Caenorhabditis elegans: one gene and its partner. The protein of the gene in region 1 purifies or fractionates together with the protein of each later gene. This does not show direct contact. Each region holds a gene or a part of one and is shown on either strand. Other genes may lie near its edges. The genes, in order: C47B2.2 and gda-1.

What was found.
Region 2: the proteins of C47B2.2 (region 1) and gda-1 fractionate together in Caenorhabditis elegans (co-fractionation; one large-scale study listed by BioGRID). This does not show direct contact.

Annotation. Positions count from the first base shown.
Region 1 is NC_003279.8:12,959,910-12,968,016, forward strand, and holds C47B2.2 (Phosphoribosyltransferase domain-containing protein), read right to left. Parts: upstream 4,671-8,107; 5' UTR 4,662-4,670; coding exon 4,495-4,661; intron 3,908-4,494; coding exon 3,666-3,907; intron 3,140-3,665; coding exon 3,058-3,139; intron 2,747-3,057; coding exon 2,542-2,746; 3' UTR 2,133-2,541; downstream 1-2,132. Other genes in the region: fbxa-101 (DUF38 domain-containing protein), read right to left, coding at 1-10; fbxa-140 (F-box domain-containing protein), read right to left, coding at 463-723, 773-1,445, 1,500-1,552; tba-2 (Tubulin alpha-2 chain), read right to left, coding at 4,905-5,037, 5,091-5,611, 5,662-6,354; pbs-2 (Proteasome subunit beta), read right to left, coding at 7,479-7,733, 7,792-8,107.
Region 2 is NC_003281.10:11,023,319-11,031,332, forward strand, and holds gda-1 (CMP/dCMP-type deaminase domain-containing protein), read right to left. Parts: upstream 3,249-8,014; 5' UTR 3,224-3,248; coding exon 2,989-3,223; intron 2,681-2,988; coding exon 2,562-2,680; intron 2,123-2,561; coding exon 1,970-2,122; 3' UTR 1,921-1,969; downstream 1-1,920. Other genes in the region: putative voltage-gated potassium channel subunit kvs-4, read left to right, coding at 1-56, 141-274, 333-358, 439-468, 764-834, 1,735-1,851; Y48A6B.8 (Wsv161), read right to left, coding at 4,016-4,085, 4,136-4,294, 4,348-4,452, 4,508-4,580, 4,632-4,743, 4,788-5,039, 5,084-5,197, 5,251-5,351 and 2 more.

The DNA of each region.
Region 1 (8,107 bases):
GGCTAGTCATGTCGACGAATTACCTGAAAAAAATTAATTTGAGTAAATATAGAAAATCACGTTCAATGTGTAAAAACGAAATTAATTTTTACAAAAACAGGTTATTTTACTTATTTTAAATCATTTTCAGGGGAAAAATCACAAAAAATTGGTTAGAAAAACGCATAAACCACATTTGAAAATTCAAAAAAAAATTTAGAATTTTTGTGCGTCAAATGAGATGCCCGGTACGCATACTGCGTACTCTGAGAGTTACCGTAGTTTGGAAAAGGATCTTTGTTAACTATTCGAGAATTCCTTTTAAAATATAGAAAAACTGGGAAGATTACAAAATATTAAACGGAAGGTAACATTCAGCCGTAACCCAAATTATTGGTTTAATCAGTTTCAAAACAAAAAAAGTAACAAAATAAGAATTCATGTGACTAGTAAAACAAAAGCAAATTTTGAAAAATGAGAAGATTATTCGATTTTCTTCACAATTTTAGTTTCGAATTCAGTGACTTCAATGAGATATTCGAATCCATTTGCTTTGTAATTGATTGTTCCGTTATAGCCAACAAAGTTCGGATCGAACACTTTGAGCACTTCTTTTGACACCGTTAACACTCCACTATTGTCCTCATCATCGCTGTCTTCATCACTATCTTCATCGCTGTCATCCTCGCTGTCATACGTGTTCCTGCTGAGACAAGTTTCCAGCTTTGCAGACGAATCAACCAACTGAAAAAAAATCTAAAATTAATTAATCAATAATTAAGAATTTCTATACCACTTTCAAATCAGATGACAATACTACAGTTGTGAATTCGATATTTGAAAATGCGAACAGTTCAGCAACTCGAATTCCGGTGTAGCGATCAGTGGAAAGTCCAGTTTTCAGTTTTTTCGCATTCTTCCACTGCTCCGAAAGCGTCAGCTGCCAACTGAAGTAGAACTTGTAGGAATTAATGATTTCAATGTTCTCGAGAGTTCCAGACTTGAAAGATTTGAGAATGAGCACAGTTCGAGGTTCCTTTAGTCCACTCAGAGAAACTGATTTCGCTTGGAAACAGTGAAACTCTCCAAACTCCTTATCGATTGTTCTCAGGCTTGCACTCAACAGTTTATTTTTAAAACTAACTCTTCTGGAACCAATATCGTAGATATCTTCAAATTCGTCACTTCCTCTTCCCATAAAGTCAAAATCCAGTTTGAACTCTTCAATTTGGGCACTTGGAAGCTTCATAACCACGAACAATTTTCTGAGAGCAAACTGTAGTCTTTTATTGTAGATGGTTCTTCTTTCATCATCAGCCACGACCGGATGGAAAGGTCCGAAGGATTGATTTCCATTGATATCAATGGTGTGAAAAGTGCCCTCAATAGAAACATCAATGTCCAATTTGAGGTGCTGGCTGTCGACGAAATCTCGAAGATTTCGATTGGAATTGCGGACGGAAATCCTGAAACTCATTTGGTTTTTTTTTAACATTTGCCTAACATTCAAAATTTGATACCAATCGTATGGATCCACTTTCTTCATAACTTTCTCCATAACATCAACTGGCATGCTTAAAAGCGTAAGTGGTCTTTTCTTCGATCTGAAAATAAGCAAATTTTAAACTGAATCCGATGCAAATTTCATTTTAACACTAACAATTTAATCGATCCAGTTTCTTTGTCATTTCGACAATTCCACGAGATGAGCCAGTCATTTTGACAAATTACCTGAAAAATAGGAAATTTATTTGATTGATTCAGTTTTCAATCGTTTGAAGTGAAGAAAACAATAAGAAAATACGGATAAAGTGAAATATCTTTGTAAAATACGTTACCTAACGGTAAAATAACAAATTTTCCAGTAAATTTCGTGAAAACTGAAAATTTCTTTTCTGTCTAATAAATTTTCACAAATAAAAATCACAAAAACGACAGGAAAAATGCAAAAACTATGTTTGAAATTTTGAAAATCCAAAAACAATAAACTAGGAATTCTGTGCGTCAAATGAGATGCCCGGTACGCAAGTTGCGTACTCCGAGAACTACCGTAGTTTCGGAAACTTTTTTTGAAACGGCTAATTTTAACTTATTTTATTTTCAGAATATAATGAAAAAAAAACAATTTGCATGCAAAGTAGCAAATAGAATTTGAAATAAAACGTTTATTTTCGTAAAATTTCTTAAATTTGCAGTGAAAATCCAAAAAATGAGGAAAAATCTCACTCTCAACTTTGCGCGTAAAATATAGCGCCCTGTACGCACACCATGTACTCAGAAAATGACTACCGTAGTCATTGCATCTTAAAATAATGTTTAATGAACCGAAAACAACACAAAAGAATTTAGTTATGCGGAAATTCAATGAACATTTTGTCAAAAAAAAATAGGGGAAATCAACAGTGAAAAAGTAAAAAAGAAGACTACAATAACTACAAACTACAAACCAATAACGAGAAATGAAGAGATGATCAAGTGAGAAAAGTGAATAAAAATACTGCATTTGAAACGGAAACGATGTAGTTTGTAGTGTCAAAAGGCTACAAACTACACAAAACTAGTCTAGACAGCACCAAAATAGCTGGTTGAGAAATGATTTGGATAGAGAGATGTGATATCGGAGGCGACGACAGTGATATACGGGTACTTTCTGGTTATATTCTTGAGTCCAGTCGGTGAGATGAATAGGGAAACCAAGTAGATATTCTCATCTGGGACACGTGCCTCTTTTAGGACTTCAATTGCCTTGCAAACTGTCGTCCCAGATCTGAAAAATTGGAAATTTTGATAAAAATGTGATTTTTTAAATTTAAATGTTTCTTCAGTTAAAAAAATTTCAAAAAAAGATTTTTTTTGCACAAAAAAAAACTCAATTTTTTAGACAATTTTTCGCCTTCTGGGGAAGTTTTAGTGATCGACATTTTTAAAGTTTCTACGTCAAACAAATTATTGAATTTTACGATTTTTCGCCGGGAAAATCGATTTTTTGACATTAAATTTTGTGTTTTTTTTCTCAGATTTTTCAATCAAATTTATTTCGGCCAGATATTTTTTGTAGTTTGTAGTCTCTGAGCGTACCCTATCGTTGGGTAGAGCAGTAGAACTCGACGCGACGTGATATCCGGAAGAAGCCTGGCGTAGAGCACTTTTTGTTCGTCGCCTGTAACAAAAAGTGGATGAAAATTGGAAATTTTGCGAGTTTTGAGGTTTTTCTTTTAAAAAAGTATCGCCAGTTTTCGACAAACTCAGTAAAACTCACGATTTCTACCACTTTTCTGGGTAAAAACGCAAATTTTACTATTATATATATTTTTAATATATTTTTCAGGAATTTTACCATAAGAACAGTACATATTTATTACAGATTTAAAAAAAAAAACATTTTTCGGCTGAAAAAACGAGTTTCTCTACGAATTAGAGGTATTTTTGAAGGAAAAGTCAGACTTTTCACAGATTTTGAGGGGTATTCAGGAGAAAATCTATAAAAACTGGATATTCACCAGATTTTTCCATTTTTCAAGCAGAAATCTGCATTTATAAGAGATTCCAGGTAATTTCAGGGAGAAATTGATGAAAATCGCAATGATTTTGGTGATTTTTCGCCATTTTCTTCTATATTTCTCAATTTTCTTCGCCTTTTCTAGGAAATTTCCCAAATTCCTCTCGATATCCTCAATTTCCCGTACCAATCAGAATTTTTCCAATTCGAATACACCGACAACACTGTCTCAATGAAACTTCCATCGCCTCTCCACTTCTACACAACGATACTCCACAATTTCCACGATTAAATTGAATTCCTTCATATTTGAAGCCTGTTGGTGTGGTAACTGTGTGCTCAGTGAATGGAAGATGATTGAGACATTCTTCAATTACAAGCCGCATCAGACGATCCGCGTTGAATACGAAATCCGAGTGATTTGTTGATCTGGAAATTGGAAGATGGTTGAGGCTATGGGGCTACAAACTACAAACTACAAGATTCTCTGAGCCTCAACCAATTTTTACAAGGAAAACTTCTAAAATTGCGAGGAAATCACGAAAAATACCGTTTCGGACCCGGAAATTTATGAAAATATCGGAATTTTGACTCAAAATCCGAGAAAATCCTTGAAAAATTCATTTATATAAATAAATATATTCATGTTTTCTAACAAAAAAAAACGTTTTTTAATCAAAATTTCAGTTAATTTCACGGCAAAAAGGCCAAAAAATGAAAACGTTTTCTATTTTTCTCCTAATTTACTGGCAAAATCGCTTAAAATGCCGTTTCTGACCCGAAAATTTGTGAATTAACGGATTTTTAAAATCTAAATTCCAAGAAAATCGCTTTTTAAGGCAAAAAAGGAGTTTATTTAAAATCAACAAGTTTTTCCGGCAAAAATACCGAAAATCGTTAATTTTTCCGCAAAATCTGGAAAAAGAGCTTGGAAATATGAGTTTTCAGCCCCTTTCTTTAAATTTTCACCCATAAAATGTTTGAGGCTTCAGTCTATTCCCAGTCAAACTTCATACCTATCTTTCAAAATTGTCTGCAATTCAAGTATCTGTGGAGTCTTCTTCAAAAGAACAAAATTTGTTCCCTTCTCTTTCAGATTTGCCACCAACTGCCCGACACCGTCTTCCTCATCACCAACCTTTGGAATCACTGGAGCACATGTTCCATTCACATGCCCAGCCATTTCTGTAATCTAATACTGATCGATGAGCAGAACAAGCGTCTGCTGCTCAAATACTGTCGGCTTGTACATGTTTGCTCTGCGGCACTCAACTCGGTATAAACGTAAAGTGTTCCGACTTTCATTCTTTCTCTTTTTAACAAAAAACATTATATAAATAAAATACTTCATAATACATTGTTTATGACGATCGAACTGCAGTAATAAATTAAAAGTCAATCGCCAGGCAGTTGATTGTGGGAGCATCTAGTACTCCTCTCCCTCCTCTTCTCCTCCCTCGTTGGAGTCAGCTCCGACCTCTTCGTAGTCCTTCTCGAGAGCAGCCAAGTCCTCACGAGCCTCGGTGAACTCTCCTTCCTCCATACCTTCTCCGACGTACCTGAAAAGAAACACATTGAATATTTGAAAAGTATAGTTTAACGGGCAACATACCAGTGGACGAAGGCACGCTTGGCGTACATCAAGTCGAACTTGTAGTCGAGACGAGACCAGGCCTCAGCGATGGCGGTAGTGTTGGAGAGCATGCAGACGGCGCGTGGCACCTTGGCAAGATCACCTCCTGGCACAACAGTTGGTGGCTGGTAGTTGATTCCGACCTTGAATCCGGTTGGGCACCAATCGACGAATTGGATGGTTCTCTTGGTCTTGATTGCAGCGATGGCGGTGTTAACGTCCTTTGGAACGACGTCTCCTCTGTACAAGAGGCACACAGCCATGTACTTTCCGTGACGTGGATCACACTTGACCATCTGGTTAGCCGGCTCGAAGCAGCTATTGGTGATGTCGCTGACGGACAGAGCCTCGTGGTAGGCCTTCTCAGCAGAGATGAGTGGAGTGTAGGCGGCCAATGGGAAGTGAATTCTTGGGTATGGCACCAAGTTGGTCTGGAACTCGTTGAGATCAACGTTGAGGGCTCCATCGAATCTCAAGGAAGCAGTGATTGAGGAGACAACCTGTAAAAAGAGAACATTAGAATACAACAATCAAATTGAGCTCAACAAACCTGGGAGATGATTCTGTTGAGGTTGGTGTAGCTTGGTCGCTCAACATCCAAGTTTCTGCGGCAGATGTCGTAGATGGCCTCGTTATCGACCATGAAGGCGCAGTCGGAGTGCTCCAAGGTGGTATGGGTGGTGAGGATCGAGTTGTATGGCTCAACGACGGCGGTTGAGACCTGTGGAGCTGGGTAGATGGAGAACTCGAGCTTGGACTTCTTTCCGTAGTCGACGGAAAGACGTTCCATAAGAAGCGAAGTGAATCCGGATCCGGTACCTCCTCCGAAGGAGTGGAAGACGAAGAATCCTTGGAGTCCACTGCAGTTATCAGCGAGACGACGGATCCTGTCGAGGACGGTGTCGATGAGCTCCTTTCCGACGGTGTAGTGTCCACGAGCGTAGTTGTTAGCGGCGTCTTCCTTTCCGGTGATCATCTGCTCTGGATGGAAGAGCTTCTTGTAGGTTCCAGTGCGAATCTCGTCAACGACAGTTGGCTCGAGATCGACGAAGATGGATCTTGGAACGTAACGGCCGGATCCGGTGTCTGAGAAGAAAGTGGTGAACGACTCTCCCTCGTTCGTTGATTGAGTTGGCATGGTTCCATCGGGCTGGATTCCGTGCTCGAGGCAGTAGAGCTCCCAGCAGGCGTTTCCGATTTGGACTCCGGCTTGTCCGACGTGGATAGAGATGACCTCACGCATTTTCTTTTCTGAAAAAGAAAATTATAAAGTTTTAAAAGAGAAAGACAATTGTTATATGAGAACGAAACGATTGCGGTGAGAGCAGAGACGAAAGTGAGCCCAAATAGGGCCGAGAACGCACGAGCGCGCGCGCTCTCTCAACATAGCCCAACATCGGACACCGCGGTGGACAAGTCATCGATTGCAAAAAAATGATGACGAAATAGCGGGGCGCCAGTGGAGAGCGGATTGAAATGAGTGCAAAGGAGTGGACTGCAAGGGAGCCAAAACCCCGTTGTAAGAGACCCAGAGAATAACAATGGGAATTTCGCAATTCCCAATGGGATTACTTTGAGTCATTTTGAAACATACGTGCTTTCGGAGATTAATCAAGGAAGATGCAGCAGAAAACCGTCTTGTGAAATCGCAAAATGATTTGAAAATGTTGAATTTCAACTTGAAGAAGCTTCACGTCTTCAAAATTCGATTTTACGTGAAAACAAACATTTTTGAAAGGGCCGGAACACGGCCGAATGAGGGTAAACTATGGAAAACTGATAAAATAATGATAAAATTTGGAATTTTTCGGAAAAACGACACTGATTACGACGGGGAAGGCAGGGAAATGAGTCAGAACAAGATACAAAAAAATGTTTCGCGCCAATGATTGGTGGGTGGAGCGTGTTTGCTATATGACCTGCACATCTAACTCTCTGCGCGGCAATTCAAATCGGATTATTTTTTTCTTGTGAGTTTTGACTCTTCTCTCTTGACTTTTGAGAAGAATTCAGGTGGAAATTAGTTTTTCGCAGAAAGTTTTCAATTCAGATCTGGAAAATCTATTCATTTCGCAGTTTTTTCCTTTTAAAACCCGGAGAGTAACTTTTACTATTGGGAAAAACACTTGAAAGCGTTTTTCAAGTCATTTTTCCGGCTTTCAGTCCAAATTAAGACAACAAACAATACCAGTTTTAAGGAAAATAGACAGTTTATATTCGGAATTTATAAAACAAATGTGATAAGAACTGCCGGCGGATACGAAAATACCGAAAAAAGTAATCACCGACGACACCGAAACGGATGGAAAATCGAAAAAAAATAAATAATTGGGGGAAAGAATACACACATCGACAGAAGACCGCAATTTAGTGAGTGATATCCATGGACTCGACGACGTCGTACTTGTAGGTCTTGTGTTTCAGCACCTTGGTGGCTCCGGCCTGGAATTTGTAGACGAGGTCGTTGGGCTCTGGTCGCTTGCAGAATTCTGGCACAATTGGCCCCTTGAAGACGGTCTCGCTTGGCTCGATGATCACAAGATTCAAACTGTTTCCTGAGGCGTTGTCACCGTGCATACCGGCTTCCAGGGCGCGTTGGACAAGCTTCTCGGCTTCATCTTTCTGAAAAATATAATTATAGTATTTTTAGCGCATTGGAATTCAAAAATAGACTACTTACCGTCATATCAACCTTAAAATCACGCTCCAAAATAGTGATAGCTGCATATGATCCAGATCCTTGAGCTGTGAATGGGAAGGCCATTGTAGTTCCGTTGGCGGAGCACATATAAAGATGTGGGCCAGTTGGATCGACTCCTCCAATGAGCAAGTAGGCTCCGATGTATCCTTGATAGTTGAAAAGATGCTGCTTAGCTTGACGAAGAGCGGTGATCACACGAGCCTTGCGCCCGGTGTTTAATTCCAGAAGACGGAGATTTCCAGAGAGCATCTTTGTGACTTGATCGAGATCGGCGGCGGTTCCGGCTCCGCAGGCA
Region 2 (8,014 bases), on another chromosome or scaffold:
TGCTCAAGTTGGGACGATATTCCAGTGGTCTGCAAATGTTCGGAAAAACTTTGAAAGTAGGTCCAAGTTTTGATTTCGCGCCAAAATTTTTTGAAAGAAAAATGGCTTTTTGACTCCGCCCCTTTATTGGCAATTTTCAGGCGTCATTCCGTCAACTGGGTATGATGGCAATGGTTGTAATGACAGGTGTCATATTTTTCTCGACTTTGGTATATTTTTTGGAAAAAGACGAGCCCGCTTCAAAATTCCATTCAATTCCGGCGGCGTGTTGGTGGTAAGACACTTTTTTTCCAAAAATATTTGAAATTTTTTGAAAAAAAACTGATATTTAGGTGTATTGTCACCATGACAACAGTCGGTAAGATATAAATGTTGTAACGTACTTTGTTTCGGAAATTTTTGAAAATTTTAAAATAAAATATAAAACGAAATTTTCAGGGTACGGGGACCTGACTCCGGTTACAGTTCGTAAGTTTTTTAAAATTAATTTAATTTTAAAAAATTCAGATTTCTTGTGATTTTGTTCCCTTGGGCATATATTTTGGGCACTATTTTTCAAGTTTTGGGTTACTGTAGCGCCAAAAGTACGCAGTACACCAAACCTCACGACAAAATGCACAGATTTTTTAAATTGCGCAAAAAAAGGCTGGTTAGGGTAAAAATGTCGGTGAGCACAAATTTTGACATGAAAAATCTTTAAAAACTATTTAAGCCTAGTTTTTTATTCAATTTTCACTAAAAAAAAATTTTTTTTTAATTTCAGCTGGAAAACTGGTGGCAACTGGGGCAATCGCGTGTGGAGTCTTGGTTTTAGCATTGCCCATCACAATTATAGTGAGTTTTGTGATTTTTCAGAGTATTTTTTTTATGTATTAGCTTTTCCAACAATGTACTTTAGGCTCAAGTCGCATTCTCACTGAAATCGCGAGAACGTGAGAAAATGGCAAAACGTGTGTTTTTTGATGAATAAATGTGCATTTTTCACTCACACAAGCTTATGCAATAGTGATTTGAGAATAAAATTTTGATAGAAAACAAAAACCAAATTAGCTCCGCTGGTGTGTCATTGAAAATTTTTTTTTTGAAACTCTTGTATCTTTGCAGGTATTTAATTTAAAAAATAGTTTAGAACTAATAAAATGTGCAAAATTTTGTGTAGAACAATTTGTTAGTTGATAACTTTTCAGTAGAATCAATCGTTGTTGAGATATGACGATTTTAGCGAAGTTACAGGTTACTGTAGCTCTGGAAGTACGCAGTGCACCGAATCTTACGACAACATGCACAAAACTTTAAAATTGTGCAAAATATGCTTTTTGGGTAAACACGTGGTGTCAGAGTGTCCCATTTCGGCTTGATCTTCTTAGATCTACAAAAAATGCGGGAAACGAGACGCAGAGTTCTCAACTGATTTCGCATGGTTAAGAACGTGTTGACTTCACATTTTTTTAGGCAAAAAATTCCCGCATTTTTTGTAGATCAAACCGCAATGGGACAGATTGGCGCCACGTTTTAAAACCTGTGCGTTTTGCCGTAAGATTCGGTGTATCGCGTACTCTTAGGGCACAAGTAACCCGTAATGCGTCATATCTCTGAAAAAACAAAACTTTGAGCACTTTTCTTTACTAAAAACGTTTTTTTTTCAATTCTAACCCTGCACATTACAAGATTTTCAACAGAAAATTTGATAGCCAGGAAACAAATTTTCTTCTAATTTTTTTTTTTAATTTTCAGGTCGATAACTTCATGAAAGTGGCTGAAACTGAACGTCCGGCGGGTGGAAATCGATATCGAACATCTCAATACCCAAAAGCTACAAAATCCGAGCAAATGATTTTGAAAGTTACCTAAAAAAAGTTTGAAATTTTGCCAATTTTGCCAATTTTTCCCCAACCGTCCCAATGTATTTGTCTTTTTATATGTTTTTCAAATTTTATTTAACGAAACAATTTTCAAAAAAATACTCCAATTAATATTCTGTCTTGTCCGGTTTGTTGGACCACATTTGGAATGGGAGTAGGTAGTTGTCGGCTGCCAAATGCTCCAATTTTCGGATTTCATCGCTTTTCGGGTCTTTTAGGAAGTCGTGGAATGCTTTGTCGTCGAATCCAATCTCGGCCGCCTGGAAGAACTTGTTTTATTTGGAAAAGGTTTTTTTTTTTGGGTTACTGTGTCACCGAAAATACGCAGTGCACCAAAGCTTACGACAAAATGCACAGTTTTTTTTTAAATTGAACTGAAAAAAGGTGCAGAATTCGATTTTTTTAGTAAAAAATTTTGAAAATTACTTTTTCCAAGGGTTTCCACAAATTAATGAACTTGAGAAAATGCACAAAATTATGGATTTTTACAGGCAATTTCTAGATTAGGTCTATAACTGGTTTGAACAGATTCGGTAAAATTTCAAAAGTTTGTGATTTTGCCGTAAGGTCCGGTGTATTGCGTACTTTTGGTGCTACAGTAACCCAAAGTTTGAAAAATAACCCCGAACGTCACTAAAATTGATAAAAGCTCTTAAAGAGACAGTAATAGTGTAAAAAATTAGTTTTTATGAAAATCACCTGCTGAGCAGTTGCTCCGTAGTAAATTGCGTCGAATCGAGCCCAAAGGCATCCGCCCATGCACATTGGGCATGGATAGCAAGATGTGTACAAAATATGTCCAGATAGGTCAAAAGTTCCTGAAAACGTGAATTTCAATTAAAAACTTATCGAAAAAAAACGTCGAAAAAATTTAGCATTTTTTAACAGAAAAATAGTTAATCGTTGTTTTTTTTCAATTTTCAAAAATAATTTTAAACTATCTAACTTGTAAAATTATGTGAAAAAATTTGCTCTAATTCGAGAAAAAATTCTGCAACTTTTTTTTTGAAAAAAAAAATCCTAAAAATCGCAAAAAAATTTTTTAAGAAATATAGGAAATCGAGGTTGTAAAATTCAAATGTTATGTCAATTTATCACTAGATGCTCTAAATATTCGTGTGCCTACCCAATGCCTTGCAGGCATTCTTAATAGCAGTCATCTCGGCGTGCATTGTCGGATCCTTGGTGACCAGCACCATATTGTGGCCTTTTGCGACCACTTTCCCGTTTGAATCAACTACAACCGCACCGAATGGTCCACCATCTCCACACTCGACACCTCGACAAGCTTCTGCGACAGCTTCGGCCATGTGCTCAGCGTGATGGGGTGGGAGAGGCTTATCAGAGGCGGATGGGCTCATTTTATAGTAGGAGTTGGGGAAGGTTCTGAAAAAAAATTAGTAAGGTCTGACGAAGAAAGGAAATTTTCGAGGTGAGCAGGCGGGTTTTTGTTGAAAAAACTCCCAAAAAAGTAAATAAAAAATTCTAAAAATTCAACAAAATGCAACAAATTTTTCCCCCAAAAAACCCAAAAATTCGCGTCGAAAGTGGCAAAACGTCTTTGAAACAGGTCACGATCATCATCGTCTTATCACAAAGTGATCCCTTATCAGCGACGAGCTTTTCCACCCCCAGCTGCCCGAGCCAACCACGTGAGCTCCGCGAGCACTTTCTTTTTTTTTTTGGTTTTTCTGGTATGATGTCTGTTGTAAGATTATTTAATTGATAAGAAATTAAAAAAGGTTTTGATAAGAAAATTTGTGAGAAATGGAAGAAAATTGAAAATTTATGGGGGCCTAGTATCAGGTGAGAGAGTGGCAGGGGAAAGTGCAAGAGGTGGTAGATCAAATAATTAAAAACTGAAGCTTTTGCGGGGAACTCGGCATTCACCGCCAGCTTCTTGCCCAAGTTTCACCCAAGAAAAATTAACATGGATTAGAAGCTGGCCAAACTTGGGCAAAACTTGGGTAAAACTTGGGCTAAACTTGGGCTAAACTTGGGCAAGACCTTGGTGATTATAGATGCGAATTATGCCGCGCTTTTACTTTATTCTTTAGACGATTTCCTGTGGAAAATATTTATTTAAGGACAAAACATGAACAGGGTTAACAACAAAAATCAATTACAAAAAAAAAACAACGAAAAATTAAGCTTCAGTGGGTGGAGTCTTTGACCGATCGTCCAGCAGCGGAGACATCATGCTCATTGCGTTGACCGGTTGCACTGTAATGAAAATGTATTGGTTTATCGATTAAAAGTATTGAGTTACTTACAATCTGATAACTTCTTCTGGTGACGTTTCCATCCTCTGATGCTGTTCTCTGAACTTTCGAACCTGTCCCCACTTGAGATGATGCTCGCAATAAGATGGTTTATTGCAGTTGAATAGTGCTCCTTTGGCAATATCAAAGTGATATGTTCGAAGATTGTTCCTGAAATCATATCATTTTTTTTTACATTTTACAATTTTTACGAGATTTCTTACATTGCTTTGCCAAGGGCTTCTACTGCGTTCTTGAACACTGTGATTCTTTCGTCCCTACGGCGCTGAACCTCAAGTTCTGCTCCTTCTCCAAGCGTTTTGATGAATCTAGAAGAAATGAAATGAATAATTCAAAATTGTTTAAAGTTGGTTCATGTCTTACTCATGCTCCCTATCAATCGAACCGTATGACAGCTCAACCGGCAAATAAACTCCAACAATATCGAATGCGACTTCTGAAAAAAACATGATTTTGTGATTAGAAATTGTTCACATCTTAAACGCACCAATAATCGCTGTTGTCACTTTTTGTGGTAACTCTTGAAAATGTCTATCAACACGGCGAACACAGCTTGGTCGGTAAGTAAATGCCCAGATTTTATAAGAAGGCTCCAGCATCTGAATTGAATTTATTATTTTTATATATCAAAATGTCAACTTACAGTTTTCAAGGCAACCATATAGAAATTTGAAAGTTGCGAGACGGCATCACCTCCAATCAAGAGTTCAGAGTTATAAATATCTGTGAGATTACACGTAGGAAACCCGTCAGCTTGTGAAATTGTGTGGTTCATCGTAAGTGTTCGTTTCACGATACATCCAGCGTTCAACTGCTTTGAAATTTTCGATGTCAGGGTGTGCACGTTTGCTGCAAGTGCGGTGTAATTCCCATCCTTAGGATCCTGCATTTTAAACTGAAAAAAGTATTAGGATATGAAATTGATTAATTACGGCCTGCCATCATCATCTGTGCAATTTGAATAGACTCTTTCTCGTCTTCTGTAGATTGTCTGAGAGCCTGGACGAACTGTAGGATCGAGAAGTTTGGACGAGTTGTATGTTTACAAAATTCCTTAAAATTAAGATATTAAGATTAAATATTTGGATATTTTGGATATTTTGCACCTCTATCTGGATCTCTGAAAGAGTTCCATTTTCTAATCCCTTCTTCACAACGTTGCCCATTTCCATAACATCTTGATTTCGAACCGCTGATTCCAGTTGCTCTGAAAATTACAATTTGCTTTAAACTCAAGATTTAGTTTCAATGTGACTTACCAATCATAGTTTTCTGGACCGCTCTGTTTTGTAGATGCTGAAAAACATCAAATCCCGCGGAGGTACTTGATCTGTCTGTGCTGTCCCCGGTTGCCTCATTGCTTTGTGAGCAACATGTTCCTTCACGAAGTTTCTGTTTTCGATAGGCTGTGCGCCCAGCCTTTGAATCAATTGTACCAGTTTTTGCGCGATTATTTGTCAGTACAGAATGTACAGAATGCTCTTTAAGGAATGGCGAGCACGAAATTTCACTCTTGACTTTTTTATAAGCGAAGTTGTTTTCAATTTCTTGCTCCTCCACTCCGACTTCCTCTTCAACTTCATCTTCGTTTCCGTTTCCACTCTCCTCATATTCTTCGTCGTCCAATTCTTCATCATCTATTTCGTCTTCAATGTCGTCTTCAATTCCGTACCCGTGCTCAAAAATCACTGGTTTTTTTGGGAATACAACTGGCTTCATAGTCGTTATAGTGTTCTCTCCAGAATAAAAGTTTTCGTAGTCGTCATCGTTCTTTTTTTTCTTGTTAACCGAAGATGTTCGAGTACTGGTTGCAAGTGGCTTCATCTTCCCTCTTGGATCTTCCCTCTTATGACGAATGGAACGTGTCGATCTTGGGGTATTTTCATTTCCAGTCGGAGCCTGAATTTTACTTTTGCTAATTTTCTAATGAGGATTATTAACTCACCGAAACTTTTCTTCTCTTAAGAGGCGCCATATTTAGATTCCAAAGTTAAATTATACTGAAAGTGATTAATGAATTAAATAACAGCGAAAAAGGCAAATATTTTCGAGAACAAAAAGGATAAAATAATAGTTTACAAATAAAATAAGAGAGTGTCAAAGAAAAAACAAAAAACAGTTAATTATATGTGTAAAATTGAGAAAAAATTATTGAAAATGATAAAATATGACGGAAATAGGAAGAAAAATTAACGATAATTAAAAGAGAAAGTTGATTTCGAAATTAATAATCATTGCGTTAAGAGCGCTGCGGATGAGCGCTGTGTGCCTAAACTTGGGCCAAACTTGGGCCAAATTTTGGCCAAACTTGGGTAGTAAGAAGTGGCGCGTAGCAACTCGGTTAAACTTGGGTGAAACTTTGGCTAAAGATTGTTTAAAGTTGTTTCAGAGTTTGGTAAGATAATCTGTATCAGAATATCTAAAGTTGGGTGAAACTTAGGTCAAACTTGGGCAAGACTTTGGCGAAACTTGGGTAAGAAGCTGCTGAGTAGCTAAAGTTGGGCAAGAAGCTGCAGGTAAATGCCGAGAAACTGGACACTTCTTATCGGGAAACCTATGTATATTGGAAGAGCAGATATTAAATTGGGTACTACAAAAAAATGAATCACAAGAAAAAATTTTGAACTAGAAAAAAGTTGAGCTGAAATTTTCAAACTTGGGAAATTTTTTTTTCACAATTTAGGATTGAAAATTTTTGAAGTTTTTATTATTTAAAAAAAATTATTCAATTAAGCTGAATTTAAAAAAAAACTTTTCGATTACTGAATTTTCAAAAAATAGAACTTGGAAAATTCATCTGAATTTTTCTTGAAATATTTAAGTTTGTTTTCATTTTGAATTATTTAATTTATGTTTTTAAAAATTATAAAAATGTTGAATTTTTTAAATTGAAATTTTTTATTCAAAAAAATCTGAATTTTTAAGAAGAAAATTAAAAAATTCCAAAATGATGTCCGAATATTTTTTTTGTTATCTAGACAGCGTTAAAATTGCCGAAAGTATGCAGAAAATCACCAGAAAAATTTGATAATTTTTTTTCGAGTTCAAAGAACTAATCTGTTGCTGAATTTTTTGTTGGAGCATTTTCAAAAATTCGTGCAGAACTTTTTGCCTAAAAAATGTGGAAAACTTAAAAAACTCACTAAAAATAAATTACAAAAATGGAGCACAAAATGGAGCATTTCTAAAAATAAAAGTGACTCGATCATCAATCCCTCCCTCCCCCGAAGATTTATAATCGTCTATAAAAATCAATAAAAATAAATAAAAATCAATCAATAAATCACTCCAATAGTCCCTTGACCCACCAGCAGGTGTATGTATTTGGCTTTATAATGTAGAATTGATATTTTACATGAAACATTTTTAGTAAGTCGTTTGGAAAAAAACATCATAGTCAAAATGCCGTTTTGCACAGGAAAAAATGTAGTGTTAAAAAGGCAATAAAACAAAATTAATATTCACGAAAAAATAATTCGCATACATATTTATGCAAATTTACTGCCAAAACCCAACAACAAAACTGAAACTTTTTAATAATCTTCTTATCACTAGAAGCACGTCACTTTTAAGTTTTAAATAGGGGGTTTGCTCCATTCTTAAAAATTGTTTTTCAAGTTTTTAAAGAATTGAAATTTGGTACGAACTGATAAAAAATTAGGCGATCAAAAATCGGTTTGGAGCAAAATAAGCCAAAGTTTTTGTATCAACACAAAATCTATGAGCGTTCATAAACTGTTCTAGAAAAATTGCAAATCATGATAGTAAGTTACAGCAAAATTATGCTTCAATAAACATGAAGTTTATAATAAGATTCTTTAAATGCTTTTTTATATGTGTTTGTTTAAAATAAATTGGATGGCAATTCTG